Arabidopsis thaliana: one gene and its partner. The protein of the gene in region 2 interacts with the protein of the main gene of each other region in a pairwise test. Each region holds a gene or a part of one and is shown on either strand. Other genes may lie near its edges.

Region 1 (6,611 bases), about 11 Mb from region 2:
TTTAGTCAGAAACTGGATTATAGATCATGATAAGGTTGAATAAGATGTGGACAAGCACAAACCTATTTGAAAACGTCGTTATTCACATTATTACGCGTGTTACTTTTGTTAAAATGTGAGTCTTTCGAAGTTTGAAATTGGATTTTGATAATATATGTGAAGAAGTATAAAATATATGAATTCTAAAACCAATAATCCATCATAAATACTGAACATACACATATATCCTAGATTTGATTTCTATAGATTCGCTATTGAATAAAAATATATGGTACATGCATGCTAATCACTGATTAATACTTTGGTAACAATATATCTTCTTGTGGCATCTTCAAATTGGTTGGATTCCATGATAGGGGAAAAAAGCTATCTACAATCAAAAAGAAAAACGCCATCCGATATGATTTGTTAGCGAGACAAATGTGGGGCTAAGATTGCCATTATGGGAAATGTGGGGCTAAGATTGCCATTATGGGAGTCGATATATGCGTAGAGAGAAAGAGGGAGAGGGAGTTTTTGTAATTACTACTTAGGGAAAGAAACAGAGAGCATCAAAGCATCGTCATAGTTCCATTAGGGGAAGGTTTGGCTTTTTCCTCCCCCACTTGTAATATTATTCTTTCACGCTTTGGATCTCCTTTTACCCACACCTATTCTTTGCTTTAGTAACTACTAAACACGTATTTAGAAATATGCGTTTTGAAATTTTTTAAATACAAAAAATTCTGTGTGTCAATATAGACAATTTTATTCGTTCTTTTTTTTTTTGGGTCAGCAGACGCTACTAATTAAACTTGAACTTGTCTCAAGAGAAACATGCAAGTATAAGTACGATTCTGAAAAGAAAATGATCCACTACAAAAAAAATAAGTATAACTATATCAGTATCAAGATTCTGTTAACATCATTATAAAAAAAGTAAAGTAAAACAATAGTTGCATACTTGCATGATGAATGATTAACCAGAGTTATGATTATCTTTTTATAAACGATAACCAACTGTTGCAATAATTTTTCATTGCTGATTTCAAATAAAACATTACTTTAACGATATGGGGGAATTTTTAAGAAACAGTAGAGACGTTAATAAAAATCCCATATGCGAGAAATCTCAAAAAGGTTATATGTCGAATACATTTTCAAATTCATCTATTTTTTTTCTTTCTAATTTTCTTAATTTTTTAAATAAAATGTCGATGTATATGAACATAATAAAAAATGGAGAGACAGGATGATTATTCTTTCTGAGTTGATGTAAATACCTTAAGTAAATGTGAAAACAATGATTAAAAATCAAAATGTGAAGGGAGAGTGAGTACACGCGCGTATAACAAGAGAGTGAAGGTGTAATCAAAGCAATGGAAAGAGAGAAAAAGCTGTTTCCCGTACTCTTGGATAGGGGCATTTTAGGTATTACTTCGTTTTTTTTCTTTTCCCATCACATTATTTCCGTTTCCTTTTCTTCTCCTACGAAACTCTTTTACACGGATTTGTTCATCCTGTTTTTTGTTTTTGTTTTTACACATTTGTAATTTTCTATATTCAACAAATATACAGGGAATTACATTTTTAAAAAAGTTTCGCTCCACTAAACAAACATAAAATTTTGTTTGTAGATAACAACATGATTATGTTGTTGATGTTGAAAATAATCATATGCTGCTGAATTGATGTCCCAATTTGTTTTCGGAGAAGAAAGAAAGATATAAATTATAGTCCTAAAATGATAAATTGTGAGTAGTTGGAGTAGGAGAAATTAAATAGGACAATAAATAAAAAATAAAGATACTCCCATCTACATCCTACATTTTAGTCCATAATAATTTCAGCAAACTTTTGAATTTCTGAATTTACTTGCCCTTTTTATATAAAAGAAAAATGTGATGTCAATACTCAGGAGACCAAAAACTAGGAGACAGTCTAATACACTTGTATTGGGAAAGAATCAATTTTCAAAATGAATTTCTTCATAAATATTTTTTTTTCCTTTGACTCCTTTCATTGATAAAAAAAAATCCTGCACCTCTCTAATGATGAATACTTGAATAGAGTCAGATATTTATTCTATTAAATAATTTAGTTATTTATTTAGAACCTACCTTTATTTGCTTTGATGGTTATTCTCATCTGAGTTTTCTTCTTCTCTCTTATTTCTCTCCCAAGTTTCTTATTTTTTTTCCTCTTTACTTTACACAAAGGAACAACAAATAATGTGGAACCTTAACGACTCACCCGATCATCACGAAGAATCCGACAGTAGAGGGAATCCGGTCGGACACGTGTCAAACGGGATGAGTCAATCTGCAACGTGGCTACCGTTTGTGCTTCCGGTGACCAGGAATTTCTTTCCGGCTCAAAGCATGGAACCGGGAGTTCGTTGGTCCGGTTTCAATAGTGTCGGTAAGTCGGATCCAAGCGGATCGGGTCGACCAGAAGAGCCGGAGATATCACCGCCGATAAAGAAGAGCCGACGTGGTCCTCGCTCACGTAGCTCTCAGTATCGAGGAGTTACGTTTTACCGACGAACCGGAAGATGGGAGTCACATATTTGGTAAATCACATAATACCTTTTAAAACCATATGTAGTGTTATCATTTCAATTATTTTCATAAAATGTTTTGGAATATTATGCAGGGACTGTGGGAAGCAAGTGTACTTAGGTATGGTTCATATACATAAAAATTACGATTTAACTTTTGTGTCTTCGATTTATTTGACAAAACAAAGGGTTTTGTTTCCTTCTAATTGTTGTTACATATATATGCAGGTGGATTTGACACTGCACATGCTGCTGCTCGGTATATTTTCGAACCTAGCTAACGCATTACTATACTAGTATCATTTTTTGTTCATTATTTTGTTATTGGCTATAATATGGGTCAATAAATATTTGAGACAGAGCCTATGATCGAGCGGCGATTAAATTCAGAGGTGTAGATGCAGATATTAATTTCGACATTGAAGACTACCTTGACGATTTGAAACAGGTTCTATATAAGTCTTTTATGGATATATCTACTTTAGGTTATACTAGTAATTTAATTACTTACTACTCAGAAGAAAACACAATGAAATATTGGTTTTTTTTTTTTGCAGATGGGAAATTTGACAAAGGAAGAGTTTATGCATGTACTTAGAAGGCAAAGCACTGGGTTTCCAAGAGGCAGTTCTAAATACAGAGGTGTTACTTTGCACAAATGTGGAAGATGGGAGTCACGTTTGGGTCAATTCCTCAACAAAAAGTATTAATTTCTTCATAGTTTTTGGTGCAAATATTAAATTTCCAGTCTGTTTCTTATTAATTTGAAGTGTCCTGTTTGCTTTTTTTGTTTGCTATCTTTTCAGGTACGTTTATTTGGGTCTCTTTGATACCGAGATTGAAGCTGCTAGGTACTTCTTCATTATTCACTGTCTCATCACCAAAAAAAATATTTACTTTTTTCCTGGTACGAAATATGAAAAAACTGAAATTTGAATATAGAGCTTATGATAAAGCGGCAATAAAGTGTAATGGGAAAGACGCTGTTACCAATTTTGACCCTAAAGTATACGAGGAAGAAGAAGATCTTAGCTCAGGTAAATTTATTTTTACTTTTTTTTTTTGTCTTAAAATTTACTCCAGTCACCAGATTCTATTGTAAAAATCAACAGAGACGACGAGGAACGGTCATAATCTTGGTCTAAGTCTAGGAGAATCATCATCTGAAGAGTTTAGACTCAAGTCTGATGTAAGTGTTCATGTTTGTGTATGTATATTGTTTTTGTCGGAAAATAATTAAATTGGTGATATAATTCATATGTATGATAATTTTAAAGATTGCAAGCATAAGAAGTAGGATTAGAGATGAGGAGAGATTATTAGGGAGCGATCTATCGCTAGCAATGATGACGACGACTGTCAGATCGGAAAAGCAGCAATCGGACGGTGGAGGAAATCGAGTGGTGGGAATGGCAGCATCATCAGGATTCTCTCCTCAACCTTCCCCTTACCGCATTCCTCGCACCTTCCACTTCTCTCGTCCCTGATTCATCATCATCATCATCACTATCATCACAATCATCATCTGAGCTAGTGTTAACCAAGTTATGCTTTAATGAATTTGAGTTATTCTCGAGCTATTTTTGGGCTCTGTAATACATATATGTTCTTGAGTACGGTATAACAAGTTTTTTTCTTTCTGTTAATTTAATCAGACAACAAAAAAGGTATACTCGCGAGTGATCCTAACTCCAAGTTCATACTAAATTTATGTCTTCGCCTGAAATAGAGAGATAACCAAACGGATTTAGTAACCAATTACTGTTCTTGCTAAACAGATAAAAGAGTTTGGTGTGAATAAATGGAGTGAAAACGTGATCACCTTGAGTGAGTGAGACTTAATTATATACAAAGAGCACCAACATCTGGTGCATTTGCTTCAACTTCATTCGATGTTCCTCTTCTCAAATTCTTTCTCCCCTTCTTCGACTCCATTGTTTGGCTCCTGCAAATTAATCAAGAAACACTCATCTTTAGTTAAGTTCTGCTTTGAGTGTTTTGCAGAACCGTTTTAAGAAACTTACACTAACAGTTTTACAGAGGATCTCCCAGTTGCTGTTCCACAGCAGGACTTGTATTTCTTCTTTGAACCACATGGACATGTTTTATTCCTTGGGATCTTCTGCAGTTTTCACAGAAATCCTTTTATATTCGGATCATATTTTAATGCAATCATAAGGAAATAAGCTATCTCATGGTTTAAGCGAGCCAACAAACCTTATCATCGGTCTGTGTAGTGCACTTGGCTTGGACTGTTTCACTGTTATTGCCGCTAGCTGATTCCTCCTCTATCAATTCTTCTCTGGCTTGCTCGGTGTTTTCCATTGGACTATCACTTGCATGCTTTGGGTTGATGGTATCTGATGCAGAGGCGGTTTCTGTATCATTTTCAGTCAAAGACTCCATTCCTTGGTCTGCTATCAGGAATTCTATAGCAGCATCCACATCACCATTAACTTGTAATAGAACCTAAAGATAAGAGAGGACTAATGATCATGATATTCTCTCAAACATTAACCAAGCATCGCATTATCACCTGTTCAGCTTTCTCAGTATTGTCACAACAACTACCAGACATGACAACTTTGATAGCTCCAGCATTCACATGACACTTATCAGCTTTATTTTTGGACTTGCTCTCTGTAGCTTTCGCTTGTTTAGATGCTGCTGAAACTTTAGCATCAGCCTTCCACACAACTGGAATTTATTAGGACAGAAAAACAGACAATTTATGTATATTACAGATAAACACAGAGCTAAAGTTTGAAGTAAAACCTCTATTACAACAGGCCTGGCTGGTCCTCCACAAGCATCTTCCTTGGAACGCACACTGTTGTAGTGTTCCCCATCATGGTAAGACCTGAAAGAGAAACTATTAAAGTAAAAGCAAATTCAAACCGATAAAAGAATCATTAACAGAACCAAGTATACTTACAGATGGATCATGCGGGTTCGCGTATCTTCAAAGTTGCGTATATACCAACGCGGTGACATGTTCTGCAACATAAAGATACCACTGCTCAAACAAACGTATCGATAAAAACGAAGCAGATGATGAGAAGAGGCATTGTTATTATTACCCTGTGAATACATATATTACTGCGAGTGACAAGAGAAGCTGCTTGTAATTCCATATTCCCAGCCCAAGTTCCATCATCGTCCATGGTTTTACAGTAATCCTCAAAAGGAACATCATCTTCGATAAAAGGCTCGAACATTTCACGATTTTTCTGTCAAAAGCCATCAAGTATTGTATATACATATAGAGAGACAGTTTCCAAATATCACTAAGTAATGGCTGCCACTTACCACTATATAAAGTACAATCATGTTACGGTACTTGTTGTGTTCATCCTCATTGCCTTCTAATTGATCAGCAATTGCTCTGTGAAAGAGAATCACTATTCAATCTAACACGATTGCTTTGTTCTTCAAAAAACAAATCGAATTCGATGATCAAAGCAAAAGACATACCTGAAGAAACAATTACCGTCAGCAGTCACTTGGATAATCTTAAGCCCTAAAGCGTCAAGCTGAGCACGAAATTGAGAGAGATCACAATCCTTTCCTTGCTTCTTTTTCAAATCAACCACACAAACAAATTACAATATTTTCCACAGAGCAAAACAGGCCAATACTAATCGAATCAGACTGATTTGGGAATACAAAAATCATATATTGAAGTTGAGAATCATGAAGAAAACCTGATGCGGTTGTTTCTTAGGCTTAGATTTCTGTTGTTTAGTTTTCGCCATTATCAAATCAGATACAAGGAAGTAATACGAAAGCTAGTTGTTTGTCGGGTAGTTGCGGCGGCGCAATGAGGACGGTTTCGTCGCCGCCGAATCTCCGGTACATGAAGAACAACCATGTACGACATTATTGGGCCTGATTTGGCCCATCAAGAAACAAAACTATAGGCCCTTCTTCAAAATTTATACACATCGGATAATTAAAAGTTCTGATCAAACCAAGGATTAAACACGTTACATATTTCTTAATTTGTGTATTTATAATACTGTAGTTATGATTATTTATCTTTTTAAGAAAATAATTTCACACACTTATCTAT
Region 2 (8,662 bases):
CGGTCGACAACAACTTCTCTGCCCATGTGGCTTTCTTGGATGTAGCTGATGGAGAAAAAGCCTTTGAATCCTCACTAGAGAAATGTCCGTTTACTTCTAATTCGACGGTGAAATTCAGACTCAAGTATCCAAATGAGAGAACAGAGGAGAAGAAAACTGAAGCTGAAGTTGCAGAGACGACAATGGAGGTGGAATATCTGAAGAAAAAGCTGGATGAGATGAAATTGTTACTTGATGGATGCGAAGGAGGAATGACTGAAGAAGTGAAAGTGAAACTTGAAGGTGAGATGGTAAATTTGTTGGAGAAAGTGATAGAGATGAGATCTTCTTAGGATTATGATTTTATGTTTTTATTTTGTTGGTTGAGAACTTTCAGGACAGGTTTTAGGATATTTATGGTTTCTGCAAAACATAACAAAAGTATTTTGAGAGGTTAATGTCTTGGTGATACTATGATCTTGTCGTAGGGTAGACAGAATTAGATCGATGTTCTATGTTTTTGTGTAGACTTTTTTAAAGTTTACCAACTTTGATACTAAACCCATTAGTGGGCTTTTGGTTTATCACTCTCTTGAAAGCCCACTAATTTTATTATATTACAAACAAAATTTTCAAAATCCTTTCGACGAGTATTGAATGTTTGATGAAGCCATACAAAGAGGGAGGTTGGAGATTTTTATTAGAAAGGGAGTCTCGTCGAGACTGAATCATTTACGTAATGCTAATTAGTGATCCAACAACATAAATGTTCTAAGACAATGAACAAATTCAACCATTTGATTGATCACAAAAAATGTATCCAGATAATGTATAAGAGTTAATTAAGATATTTGGCCAATTTCAAATTCAATTATCAAATTCAGAACATTAGGCTTAATCATGTTTGCTTGTTCATGTTTGCTTGTTCGTTTTTGCGTTAGTTCTCGGAGAAGCTGTAGACTTCTATCTTTGAGGTTTTGTGGACGGACCTTGAATAATCATGCTCGTGGCAACTAGGATGAGGATTCCAATACTTCGGTACTGCGGCAACAACGCAAATTTCCGAGCTTCGCGGACTCGGAATCGGTGTTTCTCCTCCTAACTTGGCCTTGATCACTCATCGGCGATCCTTTGCAATTAGAGTTGTAATGTTGTTCTTTAATTTTCTGTAAATTGTTTTGTTCTGCTTCTACTTTTCCTTGTAATTCTGTCAAAAACAAAAATGGTATAAAATTTCACCTTTTACCAAAATTAAAAAAAAATAAAAAATAAAAAATTCAGAAGATTAATTTATGTGCAGTAAAATACATACATAAGAAAAAATAACGGGACAATATATCTACTATTTTTTAGTTTATCACATCTATGATAATAATAAAATTATGAAACAATTAAAATGCCTAAATATGAATAAAATATAAAATTATTTAGTAAATAAATGACATAAAATGATAAATTCTTACAAAATAAATGTGAGATGATTATATTGCTCCTCAATTCATAAATAAAAGATGAGAATTCAAGATATCCATTGCTGTCACGAAATCTACCAAGTCACGTTAACGTGATTGGTTTTAATTTTAAGACATAAATACGTTTTAATGATTTGGTTTACTTTTTTGTTGGAACAATTTATTTAAGTCAACCAGAAAAAATAATCTCTAACAGTCTTGGCTTCTTCAACTAACTTTCAAATTCCAACGTACGAGGTCTGGTCTTATCTAAAGTATGAATATGTATGATAGATTAATCGTCATTGATTTCAGAACTCTAACATTAGTCAATGTAATTAATGTATAATTAAGAGACACAAAGAGCCTAACCTGACAAGACCTCATTCATTTTATAAAAATCTTACAAGCGGGTGATACGTAGAATCAAGGCTTGTAACAGCTGGATTATCTCGGTTGACCATATTTGTTGACTTAAAATGAAAAAATTTCCGACCTTATGCAAGCGAAGATTATATTTTACTCTCCTTTTATCATTTTAGATTTTCTCACATATTAAAACTATACCATTTATTTATAAATGTTCGAGTATAAATCATTATTAGAAAGATGCCAAACTAAATGATACAGTATAAATTAGATATTGGTAGTCTGTATTTTCCACTACACTAAAAGTTAGGATTGACCTTTTTTTTGGAGAATCCAGAATTAGATATAGAAACCAAGAGTTAGTTTTCACAGCTGAAAATGCACTAGTTATCACTTTAATTTGATTAAGTTGTTCTTTTCTGTACAAAATACGGAAAATCTTATGTGAACGCCAATGTACGAATGAAGTAGAAGTATAAACACTTAACTTGTAAACTAATAGGATATTTAAGTTGGTTACATTAGGGACATAACCAAATAACTTTCTAGTATAAGATTTTTTTATCAACTGATCATCCTTACTTTTACAAAAGAAAGTACAAAAGCTACAAGCAAATATTCGGAAAAAAATTTAATTGTATTCATATTATTATTATTGTTCATTATAATCTATTATTCGATAATTAATTACTTTTTAGAAGCTAATCATCAAAGATATTCAAAGGCAATACCCATTAGTAAAATCCATCATAGTGAGTGAACTAAGCTCGAAGTCGTCTTCAAGAACCCAAAAGGTATCGAACAGATTTGGAACCGTAGCTGCAACTTCTACGTCAGTTGGTGTTGCGTGGACTAGTTTGGATTTTGGTTTGAGTTTGGATTCGTCAACTAAAGTGTCGAACCTTAGAGTTGAATTTTTTCCACCGGAGATCTCTTGATGAGAGGAGGACGTTGTGGTTATAAGGGCCATAGACGGTGGAGACTCTACACCGCATGCGGCTTTGACGGCAGTTGAATGATCTCCGAGACCAAGTTTCTTGCTGAGATGTGTGTTCCAGTAATTCTTTACTTGGTTGTCTGTTCTTCCCGGAACTCTTTTCGCTATCAACGACCATCTAAATATTAAAAGAATTTACGATGTTAGATTAATATTTTTATTTGTGGTCTCTTAATCTTCAATTATAATAAATAAATATTGTATTATACACTATATGGATTTTCGAATGTGCTATAAATATGTGGCAAACTTTTGAAACAAGAAATCTTGTAAAACGGAGTTAATGCTTATGCATGGACCTATATAGAGCATGTGCGTAATACATGTAGCCAGATTATGTATGTTGTAGATGTTTATATGAGACATGTGTATATATATACAGATGATCCATAAATGAGTACAATTATGAATCATTGTTAGGTTCGAGAAAGCATATTTTTTGAATAGAAACCTAGCTATACAAATTAATGGCCGAAAAAACAAAGGACAGATCTAAGATTTTTGATTCAAATTTACGATCCGTTTCTTACTACTATTTTTGAATAACCATTATTTGCTTTGTGGACGTTTGTAAATAGTAGCTTAATAAAATACACTTATTTTATGAATAAATGAATATAATATATCAGTTAAATATAAGTAATCTATATCACAACTAAACAATTTAGAGATGTTTCAACCAAAAATAAATAAATAATAATAAACAATTTAGAGATTACCGTGAACTAAGGATCGAACAACAAAACATATATTATAAATATATAAATTATGGATTAGATATATGTGATATATAGCTAGCAAGCTGTACACATATAAACAATTTAAAGATTCACGTGAATGCAGCACCGAACAACAAAACACATGATCTAACATATATAATACTATTAGAATTGTATAAAAGAAAATTAAGCAAATATATATCTTTGAATATATGGAGAAAAAAAAGAACCTGTTGCCGAGGAGCTTGTGGAGTCTGATGATGAGATCTTCTTCTTGGTCAGTAAAATTGCCTCTGTTAACATTAGGGCTTAAGTAGTTCATCCATCTCAACCTACAGCTTTTCCCACATCTCTTGAGCCCTAATTATCATCAAAAGTTTCAATCTTTAGTACTAATTTTTATTTCTTAGGACAAGAAAGAGAGAAGTAAGAGCAAGTATACCAGAAGAAATAAGAGAGTACTATAATAGAAAGAGAGAGTATAAATACCAGTTTTCTTGGCGATGCGGTTCCAGTGGCCCTGGCCATGAGTTCGGACATAATCCATGAGGATCTTGTCTTCTTCCACTGTCCATAAACCTTTCTTGTATTCATGTTCTTTTCCATCTCTTGTCATTCTCATTCTTCTTCACTTTTCTTGATCCCGAGGAGAGAGAGAGAGAGAGAGAGAGAGAGAGAGAGAGAGAGAGAGAGAGAGAGAGAGAGAGAGAGAGAGAGAGAGAGAGAGAGAAAGTGGCTGAGTCGGTGATGATTAGTCGAGCCTGACTCTATATATATATATGATTCGTGTGACGTATATATTGTTTTGTTTACATGTATATGTGCGTATATATATATACGTAAGGACATGTTTGTTTTGTTTGCTGTTGTCTCTCCAAAAAGTCCGTATATGGTAAAGTCAATCCCTACATTCTTTTACCAATAAGTCAACCTAACGAAATTGATTTAACCATTTAAACGGGTGTAGATATAGACAACATGTTCTTCTTACTAATATATGAGAGAATTCATCAAATAAAATAAAGTATAGTATTAGTTAGTTGTGGCAAAGTAAAAATATGTTTTTATCAAAAAAGGAGATAGAGGATTTGAAGAGTTTGTTCTCAAATTGATTAATAGATGGATTTAGTAGGGAAACTATATAAAGAACTGGAAGGGCTTGTTGACTCTCTATCTTGTTGGTTTTGGTTGAACAATACTAAAAATATGTGATCCGAATAAACTCAATATTCCTCAACTATTAGTTGAAAACGGTGTACTATGTTTCTTCTATTGTATATTTTCTTATAAGAAAGATTTGGAAACGCTTTGCCTAAAAATTAAAAATCTAAAATTTAGTTGAGATTTAAGAGCAAAAACGTCCACGTAAAATTGTGGTGTGTGTTAACACCCGTTAGAAAAATATTTTATTGATCTAACGAAATAATTTACTTCATATTCCGAGTTTCAAATTTCTTGCTCGTTATAATTTACCAAAAGTTATAAATTAAATTAAATTTGTATTATATTTTTTTGTAACACTATATATCTATATCTGTTTCCTTACTTTTTTACACCTGTTTTACATATGTTATACTCAAGCCTCACATTTTGTTTTTCATTTTAAAAATGTATTGATAGTAAATATGTTTTGAAAGAAAAATCTGGGATTTATTTATAACCAAATTTATCCATATCTAATAAAGTATGTAAAAACTGTAACAAGATATGTCTAGGTAGACATGTGTATCCCAACTAACAAGTTAAGTAGAAGTGAAAATTGAAAAAAAGGAAGGTAATTACTATTGGACACAATAATATTCCCTTGGGATAGACAGTAGGCAGTTTTTACTTTTTATATTAATACCAAACATAGAAGATCCTCTGGCTCATCCAGCTAAGATATGTCAATATGTCATGTGTGTATATGTTCATATGAGTATTATTTTTTGGATCGGATCCCAATGGAGGGAGTTGAAGTCGATATATATAGTATGAAACAGGAAAATACAACTTTGACAACAAAAAATATAATATACGAATATAGTCTGTATATAATAGTTTTGTTCAGGAAATAGGAATACACAACTTTGACAAAAAAAAACAAAAACAAAAGAGTTTAACATGTAAAATTTGCTTTAAGAATAGTTACTATTCTCCAAACAATGTTATCAGTTATAAGTTATAACTAAACTATAGAATTAAACATCTTTGATACAAAAACATAAGTATCCGTGATACCAAACTCTAGACAGTAATGTAATATGATAATCACTACACTAAATATATTATGTCGGGCATATGAATTATGTACGTCTATAGATTATAGCTTCCACTTGATTTAGCCTACTTTTATTAGTTTTATGGATAATTAATGATATAGGACCTATAGATCCTTTTAATTCCAAAACTTACTTTCAGATCAACCCAACTAGTTGATGTTGATCATCTAATCTATTAATTAACTACACTAACATTCGTATTTCATACATTGTATTCGTAAAGTCCTATAGACTAAAAAATAAGCTAAGCAATCTTAATTCTCTACTAGGTTTTGACATTGCATGGGATAAAATTTTCAATAAACATAAATTACTATATTAAGAAATGGTATCATAAATATGATATTATATAATCATAAAGGATCTTCCTAAAATATTTCATGAGAGAAATTTCTCCAAAATAGGCATAATCTTAAAGTATATATCCAAGAACAACTATACCCTTTTATAATCTTTATTTTGTTATTTACTAAAATATAATTTCCTTTCTTAAATGCATTTGTCAAATGATACTTTAGTTATATATTATTAGAAAAAGAAAAAAAAAATAGAAATTAACCATTAAATTGTGTAATTAAACTGTTTTTGCTTCTTACATTTCATCTCATTGCATTCATTTATTATTTTAAATTTCTGTATAGAGCTATTCACATTTAGATTTTCCATCAATAATTTATAAGGTTTGTTATAAATCTCCCATAAATCATTATAAACATCTTGTGAAAAAGAATTTAAATGTACCCATTTTTGTTGTATTTTAGTCTTGTGTGGATCCAAATAATAAACTATACCAATATTCTTTTTTTTTCCCGTTTGAACAACAAACTATACTAATATTCTAAAACCAATAAACTAAACCGAAAAGAAACGTGAAATCACCAGTGGAGTGCATGGTAGTTAAAGGGCCTTATGGTATGAGAGTCCTACCAAGATTATTGTGTGCATTTTAGACTAACATTGTAGTGAGTAACAACTTTTTTTTTTTTTTGTAAATGAAAACATCATACTTTGTAAGTGAGTGACTGTAATACCTAATTTATTAAAAATAGTTGTTCATGTGAAGATGTTTTAAAATATCAATTTGACTAGCACATCATCAGTTTCACTTATCTTCTTATTTTCTTTAAATCACTTAGAGAAAGATTCAACAGTTGATCTCCTTAAGATATAGTAATTTAAGGATAAGTTACCAACTATATATATGAAGTGATTTTTGTGTCATATAAGTGCCAAAAGTTTTTTTATAAAGAAATCTCTTTGTGATCAACATGGATAGTTAATTAAAAGTATTTTGAACTTCCAAATAAGATCAAAAGCGTTTGTAGTTTTTTCTATGCACTCTCGATTTTCTTTTCTTTTCTTCTTTTTCTTTTCTTTGATTTTAAAGTCGGGGCAAATTTTAATGGACCTCATATAATCTCACAAAACAAAGTCCATGAGACAGCTTAAAGCTTCAAGTGAACTTTGTTTGTGCTAATAAGCTTGGTAGGTATTTTGGGAGATGTTATACAAGAAAAGAAGGCATCAATATACCATTAGCACAGTCAAACTCAGAACACGCTATTGTCTGTCTAACCAAGCCGTTGGCAATCGACATGTTTTATTTTCATTCACACATTGATTTTAATTGGAATTTATTTTCTGTAAATGGTCACGTGCAATTTTTTATACATTCAATAATTAATTAATTTATGAATTTATTGTGTACTCCAAATAAAGAGGAGGTTTCCTAATCATTGATGTGTCGATCACAAGTGGGTAGGCTGTAAATAGAAATACACTAACGAAAGGTCCATGACTCGTGACCCCTCAAATTTTTATTGTTACATTTCGTTTTTATCTTTAATATTTCAACACGGATAATCTGATGCGAAAAGTTCACATCAAATCAATTTCTATCATTTCTATAAATAATGTTTTTAATTTTGACATTTTAAACTTCTAACTAAAATTGGATGAAAAAAAAAAAAATTAATATTTTCATGGCTGTTTAATTAAAAATATCTACTTACTTAAAATGCTGAAAACTCTACTGGAGGCTTTGATTTTTTTCGTTAAATAACTGTGTGGTAGCAATTTGTAAATTATAAGGCTATAGCTTTTACAGAATATGAAATTATTTTATTTTTACCATTGCATTCCGTTTTAAACGGAATGAGAACTTTGACTACCTTTGTAATGAGGTATGTTGCTAGATACACTTTGTCAGTGTTATTCTTTAACTCATTCATTTAATTACCACATATTCTTACCGCTATTTACAATGGGAAGTTTCCAAAAATACTATTTAGAAGAAAAAAATCACGGACAAAAAACTTGTTTGATTTTTCTTCAAATACATATTACATAGGCATGAGTTTAAAATGTTTGATATTAAGATATTTACATCGCAATTAGATTTCAATGAGTCTATTTTTTCTTCACCATTTAATTTATCTTCCTTAAGCAGTACTTCTTCTTCTTTTTTAGCATAATATTACATCAATATCAATTGGTTTATAATCAATCATAAGCTACATCATATTTGGTGTATTTTGTGGACTAATAATTGTTTAAAATGTTATAAGACTTATTTGTAAACATTTTATAACATGCGTTAAGACTCTTATAAACCAACTGATATTGATGTAATTATGTTAAAAAAAGATGGATCATAGTCTAATATAATTCAATCTCTTATACTACCGTACACGAGAGTTTCTCCTTTCCATAAACATAAAAGAGAACAAACATAACTAATATCATAGTCTACACTTACTGCAACAAAAGGTCCCTTGCAACGAAAGCCACATTTGTAGCATCCTGGTCGGTTTATACCATTCAAAGCCACTTCCCATTTCTTTTTATTGAACTCAAAATGTAGTCGAGGCTTCACATACCTGAAAT

Evidence for each region. Proteins that work in one complex are often made in the same cells at the same time.
Region 1: the proteins of MYB23 (region 2) and TOE3 interact in a two-hybrid assay, tested with the Arabidopsis thaliana proteins (one large-scale study listed by BioGRID).

Annotation. Positions count from the first base shown.
Region 1 is NC_003076.8:26,799,534-26,806,144, reverse strand, and holds TOE3 (target of early activation tagged (EAT) 3), read left to right. Parts: upstream 1-1,895; 5' UTR 1,896-2,210; coding exon 2,211-2,551; intron 2,552-2,634; coding exon 2,635-2,660; intron 2,661-2,767; coding exon 2,768-2,798; intron 2,799-2,899; coding exon 2,900-2,987; intron 2,988-3,096; coding exon 3,097-3,242; intron 3,243-3,345; coding exon 3,346-3,390; coding exon of another isoform or gene 3,391-3,475; intron 3,476-3,481; coding exon 3,482-3,576; coding exon of another isoform or gene 3,577-3,641; intron 3,642-3,651; coding exon 3,652-3,728; coding exon of another isoform or gene 3,729-3,779; intron 3,780-3,816; coding exon 3,817-4,026; 3' UTR 4,027-4,196; downstream 4,197-6,611. Other genes in the region: AT5G67170 (SEC-C motif-containing protein / OTU-like cysteine protease family protein), read right to left, coding at 4,382-4,484, 4,564-4,661, 4,757-5,008, 5,076-5,225, 5,315-5,399, 5,475-5,536, 5,620-5,769, 5,849-5,924 and 2 more.
Region 2 is NC_003076.8:16,123,324-16,131,985, reverse strand, and holds MYB23 (myb domain protein 23), read right to left. Parts: upstream 4,262-8,662; 5' UTR 4,138-4,261; coding exon 4,005-4,137; intron 3,876-4,004; coding exon 3,746-3,875; intron 2,915-3,745; coding exon 2,518-2,914; 3' UTR 2,325-2,517; downstream 1-2,324. Other genes in the region: AT5G40340 (Tudor/PWWP/MBT superfamily protein), read left to right, coding at 1-332; AT5G40320 (Cysteine/Histidine-rich C1 domain family protein), read right to left, coding at 8,445-8,662. UniProt on the Arabidopsis thaliana protein: Transcription activator, when associated with BHLH2/EGL3/MYC146 or BHLH12/MYC1. Regulates the epidermal cell fate specification. Mediates the formation of columellae and accumulation of mucilages on seed coats.